Linked DNA regions of Macaca mulatta. The protein of the gene in region 4 interacts with the protein of the main gene of each other region in a biochemical or structural test. Links are inferred from orthologs where the notes say so. Each region holds a gene or a part of one and is shown on either strand. Other genes may lie near its edges.

What was found.
Region 1: the proteins of SORT1 (region 4) and BDNF form a complex in vitro, tested with the Homo sapiens proteins (2 studies listed by BioGRID and IntAct, with this or other methods). The link is inferred for Macaca mulatta from reciprocal best matches to the Homo sapiens genes SORT1 and BDNF.
Region 2: the proteins of SORT1 (region 4) and SORCS1 form a complex in vitro, tested with the Homo sapiens proteins (2 studies listed by BioGRID and IntAct, with this or other methods). The link is inferred for Macaca mulatta from reciprocal best matches to the Homo sapiens genes SORT1 and SORCS1.
Region 3: the proteins of SORT1 (region 4) and NGF form a complex in vitro, tested with the Homo sapiens proteins (3 studies listed by BioGRID and IntAct, with this or other methods). The link is inferred for Macaca mulatta from reciprocal best matches to the Homo sapiens genes SORT1 and NGF.

Annotation. Positions count from the first base shown.
Region 1 is NC_133419.1:37,581,893-37,586,288, reverse strand, and holds the start of BDNF (neurotrophic factor BDNF precursor form), read right to left. Parts: upstream 2,863-4,396; 5' UTR 2,237-2,862; coding exon 2,087-2,236; intron 1-2,086. UniProt on the Homo sapiens protein: Important signaling molecule that activates signaling cascades downstream of NTRK2. During development, promotes the survival and differentiation of selected neuronal populations of the peripheral and central nervous systems.
Region 2 is NC_133414.1:119,346,935-119,351,135, forward strand, and holds the start of SORCS1 (VPS10 domain-containing receptor SorCS1), read right to left. Parts: upstream 2,802-4,201; 5' UTR 2,560-2,801; coding exon 2,002-2,559; intron 1-2,001.
Region 3 is NC_133406.1:124,961,426-124,965,528, reverse strand, and holds the start of NGF (beta-nerve growth factor), read right to left. Parts: upstream 2,868-4,103; 5' UTR 1-2,867. UniProt on the Homo sapiens protein: Nerve growth factor is important for the development and maintenance of the sympathetic and sensory nervous systems.
Region 4 is NC_133406.1:130,882,326-130,885,935, forward strand, and holds part of SORT1 (sortilin), read left to right. Parts: intron 1-608; coding exon 609-799; intron 800-2,566; coding exon 2,567-2,756; intron 2,757-3,610.

The DNA.
Region 1 (4,396 bases), on a different chromosome or scaffold from region 4:
TGAAGTAGAAGAAAAAAAAGACAACGACTTTATGGCGCTGGAATTCCAGTAATGGTGACCAACATGTTTTAAATTCCAGTAAAGGTTATGGTTACATTTCAACAAGTGTCTCTTTCCTTTCTCTTACCTCTCCTGCTCACCCAGAGGTAAATTTACCAAAAAACAAAAATAAAAAAATAAAAAGTCACAAGCAAGGCATTTGCAAAAATCAGAAAACACGAACAGGTGTTTAGTGATGGTTTTTAAAAGGTGCTGTTCCCAGGGTCAAAACTTTGTGGTGTAATTTCAACATGCTATGTTACCTATTATGTGTAATGTCTTGAATCGCTACATGTCATAACATCAGAAATCTCCAACCTAAAAATTATGTTGCATGAGGTAAGCATTGAAGGCACACACGTTCAGACAAATTAAATCTGTAATTATGGCTCAATAAATTAAAATGTAAAGACATATCAAATTGTAAGACCGAAATGGCTTTTGACCTTACAACAAACTCATATAAAAATAGATTTTTCGATAATAATAAAGGGGAGAGAGAGATTTTTCAGGATATTGAGCCAGTAGGGAGGGGTCTCATTTAATAGCATATCGCCTTTTATATGCAGTTAGAAAATCAACGTTCCCAATTGCATACTACTTTGCTTTAAAAGATAACTGTACTAGGAGGATTAATAAACACTCAGAAATATGCTTTTCTTCGCTTCTGGCCAAGAACATTCCTGCGTGCTTGTTGGAAAACGTTCTTTGGTTGCTACTGACATTGAGAGTAAGTGTAAGATACCTAGAGGGCCCTAAAATAAGATCCAAGAAGCCCTAACACACCACCAATCGAGGCTTATCAGAGCTCCCCCAGCGCGAGGAAAACTTGCATAGAAGCCAAACAAGAACAAGGAGTCAAAATCCACCGACGACGAGTCGCATGCCCTACCGAGCTGGAGTCAGCAGCACCATTCAACAAGTCCCTCCTACCAGCTCTCTAAGGGATCCCGCAAAACCTTCCCTTACCACTTCCCCACCCCCAGCCTCCCGCCCCCAGGAGCTGCTCTTGGCAGCATGGCCGGCAGAGGGCACCCTCTACCTTCCCTAGCTTCCTTCTCCGGGTCCCCTCCTCCTCCTTGCCTCCCCTCCACCTCGGTCCCTCATCCCTGCTCCACCCCCAACACAAAAACACTGCATCCTCCAGTTCACCCTCGCAGCCCCAAGGCTTCTTCCTTAGGGCTGCCCCTAGTCTGTAATCTCCCCTTCTTCTTGCCCGTCGGGCACAGAGCCCCCAATCCTCAGCTATTTCTTTCCAGGCGCAACTCACTCTCACCCATTCTTCCCGGCTCTGCATCCCCAGAGACTAACCCGAGTAAGGAATCCCCCACCTATATCCCACCTAGTCCCCGAAAGTCAAAACTCTAACTTCCTTGGAGGGCGCTTCAGAAGAGGGGCGCAGGCTGGGTAGAGATGTGGGTTCGGCCCGCCCGGGAGTCTCGCAGACCCTTTCAGTTCCGAGCGGTAGTAATTCCGCCTCCCAAGTTTTCTAAGCTACATTGGCTTCGGACTTGTAAATCCACTTCAGTCTCAACTCCTGGGGAGCAGGTAGCCGTGTGCAGTCCCGGGGACGACGCGGACTCAAGGCGCAAGCTTCCCTCCCACTCCCCCCACAGGTCGGCGCGGGGACCACCCAACCCCTGGAAGGATTCCTAGCCTAGCCTCAGCACCCTTCCCTCAGTCAGGGCCCCCGACAGCTCTGGCCCCCTAAGTCTCTCTCGACTCCTCCTGGGGTGGGGGAGGACTGCGAGGGATCCCCGGGTCGCCGTCTTGGCTCCCATCACGCAGCTCTGGGTCTCCTCCAGGCCTTCTGTCCTCTACTTCGTGCCTTCCCCGGGTCCCTTTTTCCCTGGTAGTGCCGGGTGACCTTCTGGGTTGTGGGATGGGGGAGAAAACTCCCCAGGAGCAACTCCAAATCCTCCCTTCTACCGGCGGGGAGGAAAGAAGGAGACTGGCCTCGTCCCACAACTTTGGGGGGTCCCCCAGTCAACTTTCTCCTGCGGACCGGCAGCTCCCGTACCAAGCCCCATGCCCGGCGCTTGCCTACCTCGGGGTCCACACAAAGCTCACGGGTCCCCGGCGGCGGAGTCACATCGTGGTTCCGATTCTGGCTCCAGCGCCCAGCCCGGGTCCTCGTCGCGGTGCTGCTCCCCGCCGGCCCCACAGCAGCGGTGGCAGCTGCATTCAAGTGTCTCATTAAAGCCCCCCGAGCAGGAGATGGGAGGCGCACCGGGCCGGTTCCTCCGTCCGGCCCGGGAGCCCGAGGCGCTACGGGGTGCGCGGGACAGCGAGCCGGCGGGTGCGCCCGGGCGCGGCGGCGGCAGCGGCTGGGACCCGGAGCTCCAGGCTGCGCCTTGCGCCCGGGTCAGACATTATTTAGCTCTTCGGTTGAGCTTCGATTGGTCAAACGGCGCCACCCCCCCGCCCCCCTCCCCCCGCTCGCCCGCGCTACCGATACCCGTTCGGGGCGGCTGCTTAAAGGGAACGCCGCGCCTTTTTCTCGCCCGGGGGACCGAGGGGCGCCTGGGACTCCCCGCTCCCCCAGGGCCTGTCCTCACGTCCTCCCCCAGGTCCCCGCGACATCATCCTGCGAGTCCTGCGCCCTCCCGGGGCGCCTTGGGCAGGACGCCCGCAGCTTCGAGGGGTGTTCCAGCCCCAGCCCCAGCCCCGGGGAACCCCGCGTCCCGCGCCCTCTGCAGAAACCCCGGCTGTGCGCGCTGGGGCGTGAGGGAGCGAGTGAGGATCGCACGCCCTGAGGTCTTGCTCCCCTAGCTTTCAACTCTCCCCTTCCTCCCCATCCCAGCACCTAAGTTCTCTGGGAATGGGCGTGCTTTTCCCGGGCCACAGACACACCTTCCCGCACCTTCCCGCACTACGGAGCTTGCGAACGCGAGCACACAATGAAATCGCACAGAGCATGGGGGCTATTGGTTTACTCCGCTGCCTTAAACACGCCGGCTTAAACAGAGTTCGCGCACTGACCTCTCTAGAGTTTGCCTAATAGGAATTCAATCAAGATAACAACAGCATTTTTTATTGATGAACGCCCCCAGATAACGTTACACCAAGTTACTTGTTCCAGCCAGGAAGCCCAGGCAATGACAGACCTCGCTAAAGCCACACGCTTTCTAGCAGACCAAACAGAAAAACGGAAAGAGAAAGAAAGAAAACAAACCCACCTTTTCAGACACTACTTGTCAAAGTAACCATCAAGGCAGCTGCTCTGGGAAAGACTTCGGCCCCAAAACTCCCAGACTCTATTATTTTTTCACGTTCTCTTTGCTTAAAGGGGGGAGGGGGCGCGAGTCTTTAGTGCCCGGTATGTACTCCTTCTGTTCTGCAGCAAAGAAGTTAAATTATTGATAGTGGAAATTGCATGGCGGAGGTAATACTCGCACCCCATCAGCTAGAAGCTCCATTTGATCTCGGCAGAGGCAGGAAGATTTCATGCTAGCTCGCCGGGGGGAGCGGCAGCGAGAGCAGCCCTCTCCGCGGTGAATGGGAAAGTGGGTGGGAGTCCACGAGAGGGCTCCACGGTGCCTTGACGTGCGCTGTCATATGATACCTCCGCTGCCTCGAAATAGACACTCTAGTGCACGAATTACCAGAATCAAAATTCAGCGCATTTAAAATGATACATCTTTTATTAGAAGAGTTCCGTTCCAGGGCATTGCATGCTTTTGCAGATGTTTTCACTTCCAGCCCCAGCAAACACACATATAAGCTAACCCTTTTAATAACGAACCAGGGCAGCAAAGATAAATAAAAAATCTTCTGCTTTAACCAGAGTGGGGGTAGGGGATTCGAGGGTGGGGGCAGAACTGGCTCAGTTAATCCTCCCCCGCCCTCCACCCCCACCACTGCCCGCAGCAAAAGAGCAAATAGTCTTTCGGGTTCTCATTTGCCTGTAGCCAAGACCCATGGAGAGAACTTATATGGCTAGGGTCCAGAGGACATTTTCAGTTATCCGTTTGATGAACTCTGTCAACCGTCTACCTGTGTTTCTGCTTTAAGGCTAAATTTTATTCTCATTAGTTCAACCAATTTGTGCAGACCTTAAAATTTAGAATAAAGAACAAGACAGCAGTACCGTACTTAACTCGGAGTCCCTGGACCTCCTCGGAGCATAAAAATCACCTGAGTGAGTGTTAAAATGAAGGTCCTTCCTCCTGAAATTGTGATTTAGTAGGGGTGGGGCAGGGTCCAGGAATTAGAATTTTAATAAATACCACAAGCAATTCGAATGCAGACAATCCGAAGTCACACTTTGAGAAGCACTCTCTTGGGGGTACAACACTGGGTATCAGAGGAATCTCCCACCAAGCCCACACCCAAATTCCGCAGGCAGCTTTCTGTT
Region 2 (4,201 bases), on a different chromosome or scaffold from region 4:
CTTATCACCTTATTTCCTACATTATCTCAGACTTGCCTGCATGTTCAATGCCCTGACCCTAACAAGCCCTACTAGAATTATAAGCAGCATTTATTATTATTTTTTAATGCTGGCAGTGCTTGGCACCATTTCCTAAATGGAGGTTAAAAATTTGCCAAAGATGTATTCTACTTTTCTCTTTCTTTCCAAGATCTTTCAAGAGATGAGCTTAAAAAAAAAAAAAAAAAAAAGAGGTCTAATGGGTGAGTGATATTTTACAGCTTGAATTACATTAAAAGCCAGAAACATTTTGAGTCCAAGGTCTTTTACTTCTTAATACAACAAGAGCTAACATGTTTGATGTGTTTAAAATCTCCCCTCAAAGCCAGAAGCTTTGAGTTTATCACTTAAAGCAGTGTGAAAGTTATTCAATCAGTTTAAGAAGATTTGAGTTCAAATTAGAGGATTAATTTTAGTGGCTATGATATGAAAGATAAAATAGTTAAGGCAAGGGATGAGGGCAAGGGTCTCCAGAACTTGAATGGAAAGAATTTCAGCTTCATTTATTTGATCAAACCACTCCTGAGAACCATATAAAACCACAGCCTCTGTCATGAAGGAGGAATTGTAGGGAAAACCCTGCTACCGCTCTCAGGACAGATACATCAATCAATACTAAATATTATCTATCATGATTTGCCTTAATACAATTTATATCTAAGTACCCAAGGAATTCATGATGACAGACTAGCATTTTAAAATGTTCACAACTCTCATTTAAAAGCTGACAATGAGCACAACTCACTAAAGTGGCACTTCTCTGGGAAGGTTTCTGGGAATTACATCACAACGGAAAACGTTCTGAAAGGTACCAGAATGTGTAGATTGTGCATATTACAAACACTACAATCTCAATTACCTGGGTGAAGCTGTAAAACTTGAAAATTTTTTCCCCCATTTTACCCATCCTTGGTTTTTATGTTCTTGTCTATGCCTGGAGAAGTTTCCACACTTTAAAATCATTGTTAGTTATTAGAATCAAAGCTGGTTCTTTATTATTTCTACTCACTGAAGTTTCCAGGTTCAATTTCAATGGGAATAGCTCCCTCAGATTGCAGACAAGCAAGCTTTTCTGAAAATCTAAAACCTTTCCTGATATGACCAAAGCTCATGGACTTGCATCCTAAGTCCCCTGGAATCCAGCCTCCTGGAATTGAGCAATCCCTTTCCTGCCTTCATAAAGGGTATGTTAAGTCTTTATTTGTGCTCTTCATTAGAGGAGGTCAGGCAATGGGGGAGAACAGGGAGTTGTTGTCACTGGGATATATCTGATTTTCCTGAGACTGACCATGCCAGAGAACAACCGCTCATTCACAGACTGGAAAGCCCCAGTTCTCAAAACACACTCGCTTAGTGCTGTTAGAAGATGCTGGAGAGTTCCTGTCCTGAAACTTGCATCCACTTGGTCCCCTAAAGCAGAGGATACACTAAAGAACACCCTATACTCTCCACTGCAGTTCTCCCTTGTGGGGAAGAAGGGGTTAGGAGCTCTGCATGAAATTAAATGGAAATAAAATAAAACGCCTACATACATGGGTCTTCTTAATCTTCCTTGAGCCAGTACATAAGTCTGGCAAGTAAAGGGAAAGTCACTTGAGGGGATGTCAGCCTGCCTGGAAATTTAACCCTTTCGTCTCTGTATTAGGAGAACTTTAACCCCTCTGTTTGTCTGGTCTTCAGTTTCACACACCAGTGCGACCAAGGCAACAAGAAATAGGGATTTGACTCCTCAGTTTGAAACTGTGGCATTTGGAGAGGACTCTGATGGTGTTGGTGGGAGAGATGGGGAGGCTAGTCTCCTAGCAGGTGATGTTAACTCTTGGGGGAAGTGGGCAAAGACCAGTTTGCAGCATCTCCCAAGTCCAGAAACCCTATTTCCCCCCAATTCTCCACCAGATCACACAGCCGACTTTAACCCTTTCCATCTTTCCACTCCTTTGCCCTTAGTCCCATTCTACTCACGCTGCTGTTGTGGCCAGACCAGTGGACCATGGCTTGGTTGTGTGCTGAGTCTCCCGTCAGAGCAAACGTGGTGCTGGTCAGCCTCAGCTCCTCCATCCGGAAGCGGGTGGCTTTGTCCGGGTCCCGCTCCCGAGTACCAGGCTCCTGCTGCCCTCCATCTCTTAGCACTCCCCGGGGGCTCCGACTCGCGCCCTCTCCCCGTTCTGCCTTCTCCTGATCCGCACCGCTCCGTCTCCTCCGGCCGGAGCGTGCAGCAACCGCCACGGATGCTCCAGTGCCCCGAGCCCGCTCCAGGGACAGCGCTCGGTTCCCGGGGGCCACTGAGAACAGGGGGCGCACTACGAGGGGCAGGGGCGTGGCAGGAGCCCTGCCTGGCGGCCCCTGGTAAGAAAAGCCCCTAGGGGTCGAGGCCGAGCGTGGGGCCGAGCTGGGGTGCGGCGGGGGGCAGCAAGAGCCGCCGCCGAAGACGCCCGGGACGCAGAGGACCAAGAGCCCCGCGCCGGCTAGGAGCGCGCTCAGCCGGGCTTGGAAGCCGCCGCCGGCGCCAACTTTTCCCATCGCGGGAGCGAAGAGCAGCGGAGAGAGGGTCCCGGACCGAAGGTGGCGGCGCGGAGCTCGGCGCTGGCGGCTGTGGGGGGCCGGCGCTCAGGACCCCAACTCCATCCAAGTTGGGCCGCGGTGGGGGCGGGCGGAGGCGGCGCCAGGCAGGTGGCGGCCGCTCGCCCGGGCTGGGCTTGTGCAGAGCGCGGGTCCGGACGGAGCGAGCCGCCGCCGCGCGGGGGTGGAGCTGAGCTGAAGTCACTGGCGGAGCGGGCGCGGGCGCTGGCGGGCAACGCGGGAGGGAGGGCGGGCGCTGCCGGGGCTCCGGGCGCCGCGTCCCGCGGCCGAGCTGCGCTGCGCACCGGGTCTCCGGGCGCTGGAGGCGCCTCCGGCGACCTCCCCTCGGCCTCGCAGGCGCTGCCGCCGCCTCTCCTGCCGCCCACTCTGTGCCCCCGCGGCCGCGGGTCCCACCGCTGAGTCCGCGCACCCTGCCCGCGGGGGCGGTCGACCCCGGGCTCCCAGAGCAGTCGCTGTGTCGGGAGCTTCCTATTCCTGCTTTATTGTTTCTATCAGTCTGTGTTGCTGTTTCCTTTTTTCTCCGTCTTTCTCGCCTTTGCTAGTTGAGGAGATACAGATGGGTGGGCTTCTGCTCGTCCCCTCTCTTATGCTTCCTGAGTTGGCATCTTGACCTTACCCGGAGCACAGGCTGTGTGTCCCAGCCTGGGGGAGATCTCGGAAAGGCAGCAGCAGAGAGTGATGTAATTAAATGATCGTGTGTGTGTGTGTGTGTGTGTGTGTGTGTGTGTGTGTGTGTGTGTTTTAGTTTGGGGGATTTTTTTCCCATCAATTACAACGCTTATATTTATCTCCTAACCTCCTAAAGCATTCATTGAATTTGAACCCAATCTTCGTGCATGCAATCATATTTAAGAAAACGTTTTCCACTAGGCGTTTTTTAAGCAGATATATCTTGGTTTCCCTAAGAGACTGCAAACTCACTGAGGACAGGAAGATCAAATTTAGAGCAACTTGGAGGAAGTGATCTGGTTTTTATTTATCATTTTCCTCAGTACATGGCACAGTATCCTACATGGGAGGAAATCTGCCAGTCATTAGTTCAATAAATGTGTATTGTGAGTCTAACGCATATCTGCATAACAAATAAATACAGGAAAGGAGGCACAGTACTTATAGTTATTCTGTGTCATTCAGTGCCTGATCCAGTGCTACTGTCACATGCTTTGCGATCCCTATTAGAAAGTCTGTGATGGTGCTCTGCCAGTGGTTTGCTTTGGGACCTCAGACAAATCACAATCTCTTAGCTTCCTAAGCTTTAAAATTAAATGGTCACATTAGATGACCTTTAAAATCCCTACTGCTCCTAAAATTCTATAATTGTATGATTATAGTATGTGCCCAGCCTAGCACCTCTGCTACTGTTCATAAGTTCAGATGAAGATTTATAGCAGGTGAATGGGCTTTGAAAATGGCAAAGAATTTCTCAAAATCCAATCCTTTTTAAAGTAGACAGTTTGCTTCTAAGGGTTGAAATGGTTTCAGAATTCTTTGTTCAAAGTAATACTGAGGGATAATTACTCTTCAATTAATTAAATTATTTCTAATGTCCAAGAAAATGTCTGTTATACCAATCCAGAGAGGT
Region 3 (4,103 bases), about 5.9 Mb from region 4:
AAGACAGAAACTACTCACTCTGGGCTGAGGATGTGATTCTCTTGGTTGGCTTTTTGGGTGTGAAGACCAAGCCAGAGGCTGATGGAGCCAAGTGGAGACTGTTAATATTTCCATTCATGGACATGCAATAGCAAACCATCTCATACATTTACAGGAAAGCATCAAATATAATATCTTTGTTGAGCTTAATCAAAACCAGAGTAAAATTCCAGTCGACAAGAATAGAAACTTACCCTAATGATTTCATTTTTAGTCCAAAACATACAGTGTTTTCTCTGCTTGGTCTGTTTGTCACTTTCTAAAACAAGAAATTACCAAGCAAAGACTTTGGTTTGAGGGACGAGTGGAAAGCAATAAACATTGAGCAGAAATGCAAAGAGATCGAATGTCAAGAGTCCTTGGTGGATGAACATTCAGAAGTGGATTCAATTTGTGAATTGTTGACTTTATTTCCCAGAATTCATGTGAGTTGCTCAATCAGGATTCAATTGTCCAGGCTTCATGCTCTCAGCAGTGACTGTTTCATATAACAGAAGTAAATCATAAGGCAAAAAAAGAGGAGGTTGAGTTACCATCAGCGGTATGTTGTTTGTTTGTTTGTTTTAGGCAAGACATTTGCTTTCATCGTTAGCAGGTGAAATGGCCTTTTTCTAGAATAATAAAAATCTCGCACTACAAAAAACATAACCAGAAGAGAAAGAACCATCTTCTGATTTGCCATAGTGAGTTCAGTCGATAGCTTAATATTAGGAATTACATTGCTATGTATACAGCAAATTGGTGGTTTTCATTACAAGCACTGGGTGAAACTCTGGAAGTTGCTCTAGCCCACCAGCCCATTGCCTCTAGAAACTCTCTTTAAAAGAGATAAAGCCACCATCTTCTTTTAGCTTCTCAAGAATAGTGAGTATGATGGTGCAAATTAGAGGAAGGCTCTTCATCAGTGAACAATGGCTGTCACCTACAGGGTAACAGTGACATTTTGGCAGGCACATCAGAAGAGCACAACATGGCCATTAATTATGCAGTTTGGTCCTGTCACCACTGGGCACTATGGGATATCTGACAATGTTGGTACTGATGATTGGTGGCCCTGGCCCTGGTGCTGGATCTGCTGATTCCAGTTAGGAGCCATCCTGGGGCTAAGCCCAGGTCAGGGACAGAGGGAGAAATGGCTGTCTCATTTCCCATCATCCTGGAGCTTGTTGAATGTGGTGGCATGAATGGATGAATCCTGAACAGATGGAATGAGATCACCCCAACACCTATAGGCACTGGAACAAACTAAGTGAGCTGGGATTTGTCTTACCCTTAGGAAACCTGATGTTATTGTAGAGGAAAACTGAAATAGTAGAAAGAGAACATTGGCGCTATAGTGGGACGCAATTGAGAGAGGAGGGGAGTAAGAGAATGAGAGCAAAGAGTAAATGAGAAGAAGGGGAAGCAGGAAAGTAACAGAGGGGAGTGGAGAAAGCAAAGGAGGGTGTGGAGGGAGATCCAAAGGGCAAAGGAGCAATGCCAGCAAGAGAGAGAGAAGCTGAGAGAAAGATCAGAGAGACAGAGACTGAGGAAAGACTTTGAAGATAATCTCAACCTCAGCTCTGGTGAGGAGGAAGAAATCACTGCACAAATCACAAGCAGACTTACAGTGATGTACTCAGCTTGTGCTGGTGAGATGTGATTCCTGAATTTCCCTAGAGAAAAAGTCCAAGGAATAGGTAATCATAGCCATTTTATAATAAGCAACAACTCTACCGAAAGAACCCAAATTTCACTGAACCGGCTTCTGGTAATCTTACAAGATTATGCATGATGATGTTTCAGTTTAGAGTCTATTAGAATATGATTTCTGCTGGAAAAATGTCAAATATAATCCCAAACCCAATGATAACATTGCCTTGGCAGAATGAAACAGTGATTTCATCTCATAGGTTAGGATAAGGCCATATCCAAGGGCTCACAGCATCTTCAACACAAAAGTCCTTCATTGCAGGGCCACTGGGCTGGGCGTGCCAGACTGTCTCTTAAAATAAATGAGATTATATGACCTCACCATTATCAGATTCAGAGAAAATGCCTTGGAAAAGAAATTGTGAGTAGAAAGGACACAAGGACAACATCAAGGGAATTGGGGTTTCCCATTGATGCTTGGATCCAGCTGGAGTTAGTTACAGTGTAAACTTTGTTTAATCACATCCTCTGTCATTAATAAAACCCCAAACCAAATACAGAGATAGATGATGATGTACTTGGATTTCACATTGAGTTTGCATCATGCTTTACCAGGTGCCATCCATAAATCTGGGATGCAGGCTGCTGGAGCTGGGGCCACAGAGAGGCTGTCTCAGGGATGTGCTTCCACCATTGCTCTGTGCCACTGCCATGCCCCTGTCACTGCTGTGCAGTTGGTCAGTGAACAGGCTGATGAAGGCTATAGGCTTTGCCCAAGACCCACAGTCATTCTCTTCCCAGAGTGGCAGGTGTTAAAGGCAAACCAGGAAGGTGAGGCACCTGAAAAACCACACCATAACAAAAATGGGTTGGATGAAGTACGGATGTTAGAACTTCAGGAAGGCTTTCACAGGGAGTCTGAGAAGAGCTGCTCTCCATCATTCCAGGAAACACAGCGGGCAGAACTGGAAGAGAGGCAAGTGCTACTTCAACATGAGGTTTCTAAAGATATTCAACTAAAGAAATGGGCTGCCAGTTGTGGTGGAATTCCCTGTTATGAGCAGTGTCCAATTCAGTATGAATGACTGTCATGGCCTTTTGTTATAAGAGCATTAAACTTGTGTAGATTCAGTTATATGTAATCAGAAAAAGATTAAAAGAAGGAGAGAAAAAGGAAGCAATGAAAGAGGTAAAGAAGAAAGGAAGGAAGGGAGGAAAGAAGACAGAAAGTGAGAGAAAGAAAGAGTGAAAATGATGAACCACTTAAAAAGTAAGGGTGATTCTTAGTGTCATTCCACAAATGACTATGTGAGGCTAAGATTTGAATATACCATTCTTCAGTCAGAGTTGCTTCCCATTCAACTTTCATTCTGCATGATATTGGTGTTAAAGATTGGTGTTTTTAAAAAAAAAATATAGCCCCTTGTAAGCCAACTACTTTGTCTTGTGCTCAACCCAAGAAAGAGCAACTAGTTCTCACTGGAGGAATAACTAGCTGGTTGAACTTATTGAGAGACACTAATGGTTCTCCAACACGGCTCCTTCCTCAGGGATTTTCAAAGGTAAAGTCGGTTACAGTTCAAAGGCCTTTCAGACATTGATTTTAGAATGCAGTCCCTGTATGTGATCAGTTAGGCTCCATTTAACAGGAATGCCAGACAGTCCTATTGGCAAGGAGGGAAGATAAGTGATCTTTAGCAGAATGAGTGGAGAAGGCTACTGGGATACCTGAAGCAATCAGGTAGCCTTTGAGCCATCCTTTGCACTCTAATAAGACCCCTTTGTTATGCCTTAGAGCAGTCATACCTGCTCATTTAGGAAGCCAGGACTTGATAATATTATAATAAAACTAATTTTAGATAGATGCATATATTAAAGACAGACACAGGGAATAAAGACTAGAAGGAAATACAATATGTGTTGGCAGTAGTTGAATTACGAGATTATGGGTGATTTTTGTTTTATTCTTTATACTGTTCTATATTTTGTAAATATTTTGAAATAAACTATGAAAAGCTTTTTAAATAATTATTATACTTTAAATTCTGGGATACATATGCAGAATGGCAGTTTTGTTATCTAGGTATACACATGCCACGGTGGTTTGCTGCACTCGTCAATCTGTCACCTACGTTAAGCATTTCTCCTAATGCTATACCTCCCCTAGCCCCCGACTCCCCGAAAGGCCCCGGTGTGTGATGTTCCCCTCCCTGTGTCCCTGTGTCCTCCTTGTTCAACTCCCACTTATGAGTGAGAACATCAGTGACAGACTAAATAAAGAAAATGTGGCACATATACACCATGGAATACTATGCACCCATAAGAAAGGATGAGTTCATGTTCCTTTGCAGGGACATGGATGAAGCTGGAAACCATCATTCTAGGCAAACTATGAATAGCTTTTGTAAACAGAATCATGTATTTTAAAATAA
Region 4 (3,610 bases):
CACCACCACAGCCAGCCTTAAATTTATTAATTTAAAAGCCACTTCTTACCTGGGTCACTCTCCTGTCTTTCCTTTGAAATAATTTCTGCAAAGATATTTACTTTCATACTCTCTCTGAACAAATCTCTTTTGCTTATCCTGTTAACCACAGACATTAAAAGTAAAAATAGTTGGCCGGGTGCGGTGGCTCACACCGATTATCTTGGGAGGCCAAGGCGGGAAGATTACCTGAGATCAAGAGTTCGAGACCAGCCTGCGCAACATGTGAAACTCCATTTCTACTAAAAATACAAAAATTAGCTGGGTGTGGTAGCACGTGCCTGTAATCCCAGCTACTCGGGAGGCTAAGGCATGAGAATCTCTTGAACCCACGAGGCAGAGGTTGCAGTGAGCCGAGATCGTGCCACTGCACTCCAGCCTGGTGACAGAGTGACACTCCATCTCAGAAAAAAAAAAAAAAAAAGATTAAAATAGTTGTCAGCCAATAAGCCATCACCTAAATGTGTAAGGGGTTTTGTCTGGTTTGGGGTCAAAAAGCCAGAGTGGTTTTCTGAATTCCCAGTATACGTGGATCCTCTGTCATGATCTTTCTCTAATCGTGGTTTCAGGTTCTCCACAGACGAAGGTCAGTGCTGGCAAACCTACACGTTCACCAGGGACCCCATCTATTTCACTGGCCTAGCTTCAGAACCTGGAGCGAGGTCCATGAATATCAGTATTTGGGGCTTCACAGAATCTTTCCTGACCAGCCAGTGGGTCTCCTACACCATTGATTTTAAAGATATCCTTGAAAGGAACTGTGAGTGTCTCCTTTGACCTTTTCTACCAGCAACCTAAGCCTATTTTCCTAAATAATCAATATGGTTTGATTTCTGTTAGCTGGAATCAGCAGATGCATATTCACATGAAAGAGGATTGACAGATGTTCTGTGCGGGTGATTAAGTAATGGAATGGCATCAGAAAAACAGCCTCCTCCTTGGTGCTAGCACTGTCCAGGAGAAATATGAGGGTCACATATGTCATTTAAATTATTCTGTCAGTTACATTATAAAAGTAAAAAGAAAGGTGATATTAATAAAATAAACTTAATATATACAAAATATTATTTCAACATTAAGCAGTATTAAAGGACCAGAAAATAGCTTCAGAAAAAGATTCATAATGTTCATTACACAGTGTTCCCGAAGTGTCACAAGCAAACCCTGATCTCAGTGCCAAACAAAGGTGCTGGCATTATATAAGAAATAAGGGGAATGGCCAGGCGCAGTGGCTCATGCCTGTAATCCTAGCACTTTGGGAGGCCAAGATGGGCAGATCACGAGGTCAGGAGTTCGAGACCAGCCTGGCCAACAGGGCGAAACCCCGTCTCTACTAAAAATACAAAAATTAGCCAGGTGAGGTGGCGGGTGCCTGTAATCCCAGCTAGTCGGGAGGCTGGGGCAGGAGAATCATTTGAACCCGGGATGAAGAGGTTGTAGTGAGCCAAGATCGTGCCATTGCACTCCAGCCTGGGTGACAAGAGCAAGACTCCATCTCAAAAAAAAAAAAAAAAAGAAGGGGGATAAAGGAAAACACTGGAAAAAGGATGACCTGTAGTTAAGTGTTGGCATGATGCAATAAAAGACTTAACATTTCCAGACACTTTAGTTGAATTTGGTTCTTTGAGACTCGTGAGCTCATTTCCTCAGTGTGTTGATTTAGTGACTCCTGAGGGAGCAGACCCTTGGTTTGGACCTTACTTTTCCATAAGACGTTCAAATAGATTTAATGCCTGAGGGTCGCTGTCATTTAAATCCATTCAGTAGTCTGTACAGAAGCTGGCTTGGGAGTTCTCCCCTCAGCAGGCAGTTTTCCAGTTACCCCTAAAGTTTAATGTCATTAAAAGATTTGTTAGGCACCTGCTCTTTAGCAGGATCTATGCTGGTCTTCATTTCCCGAAGGATAAAACCTAATCCACTGTCTTTAGGTCACAGCCTTTGAGTCGTTTTTCCAGTAGATGATACGACATACTAAGCCAGAAACTAGGTTCATCAGCAATCTGCATTTGAGAGCCGGTCAATTGGAGCTAGAAGTCTAGGAAGAGGATGTTTTCCCTTCTGCCTTAAGCCAGTGAACACATGGTGAAATTGAACCTGTGTTCTTGGCTAATTAGTCTTGTCCTAAACAAAGAGCTCCCTGGCCCTGAGTGGAAAATATCTGGTTGCTTACATCTGACAGCTCCTTGACTGAGGGCGTAGGTGTGCAAGACACACAGACAACAGCCTCTTAGTTTGGAAGGAACTAGAGAGATTTTCTATCCAGCTCCCACTTCAAAACAAGTAGGGTTTTTCCTAATCCTCAGATGGATGTTGAGATGGAAAGAATATTCTTTTGGCATGAGGAAATGCAATTGCTAGTAGGCTCTAGACTAGTGTAGCTTTCTGTTTGCAATTCCAAAATGAAGGAATAGGTTGAGTCAGACATTCCCACTTTCCCTCTCCTTGTTCTACCTATAGCCTGGCAGCTGCCTCCCGTGGGTGGGTTCTGTGCTGTGCACTTTTCCTGAACAGTCTGTCTCTCATTCAGGTGAAGAGAAGGACTATACCATATGGCTGGCACACTCCACAGACCCTGAAGATTATGAAGATGGCTGCATTTTGGGCTATAAAGAACAGTTTCTGCGGCTACGCAAGTCATCCGTGTGTCAGAATGGTCGAGACTATGTTGTGACCAAGCAGCCCTCCATCTGCCTCTGTTCCCTGGAGGACTTTCTCTGGTATCGGCATTCCTCAGATTTCTCTATCTCCCCTTCCCTGTTGGAGGAGGTGAAAGACAGTTTTCTTATAGGCTAACAAATATTGAAATCCAACCGGGCACCGTGGCTCACACCTGTAATCCCAGCACTTTGGGAGGTCGAGGCAGGTGGATCACTTCAGGCCAGGAGTTCGAGGTCAGCTTGGCCAACATGGTGAAACTCTGTCTCTACAAAAAAAAAAAATTAGCTGGGTGTGGTGGCACATGCCTGTAATCCCAGCTGCTCAGGTGGCTGAGACACAAGAATCACTTGAACTTGGGAGGCAGAGGTTGCAGTGAGCCAAGATCGCGCCATTGCACTCCAGCCGGGGCGACAGAGCGAGACTCTTGTCCCAAAAGAAATTGAAACCCTTTTCTCCAAGAGTGGAGAACTGCTGCTTCTTATCAAGGAAACTGAGGCACAGAGAAAGGAAACCAAAATTGTTAATAATTAGATAATATAATCATATTAGACAGTTAATGGGCAGAACCAGCAACGAACCCCAGAAATCCTGAGTTGACAGTGGTGGGAAGGAGAGAAGTGATATAAGAAAGAAGAGAAGCCAGGCGTGGTGGCTCACGCCTGTAATCCCAGCACTGTGGGAGGCCGCGGCAGGCAGATCATGAGGTCAAGAGATCGAGACCATCCTGGCTAACATGGTGAAACCCCATCTCTACTAAAAAATACAAAAAACTAGCTGGGCGTGGTCGGGGGCTCCTGTAGTCCCAGCTGCTTGGGAGGCTGAGGCAGGAGAATGGCATGAACCCGGGAGGCAGAGCTTGCAGTGAGCCGAGATCACGCCACTGCACTCCAGCCTAGGGGACAGAGTGAGACTC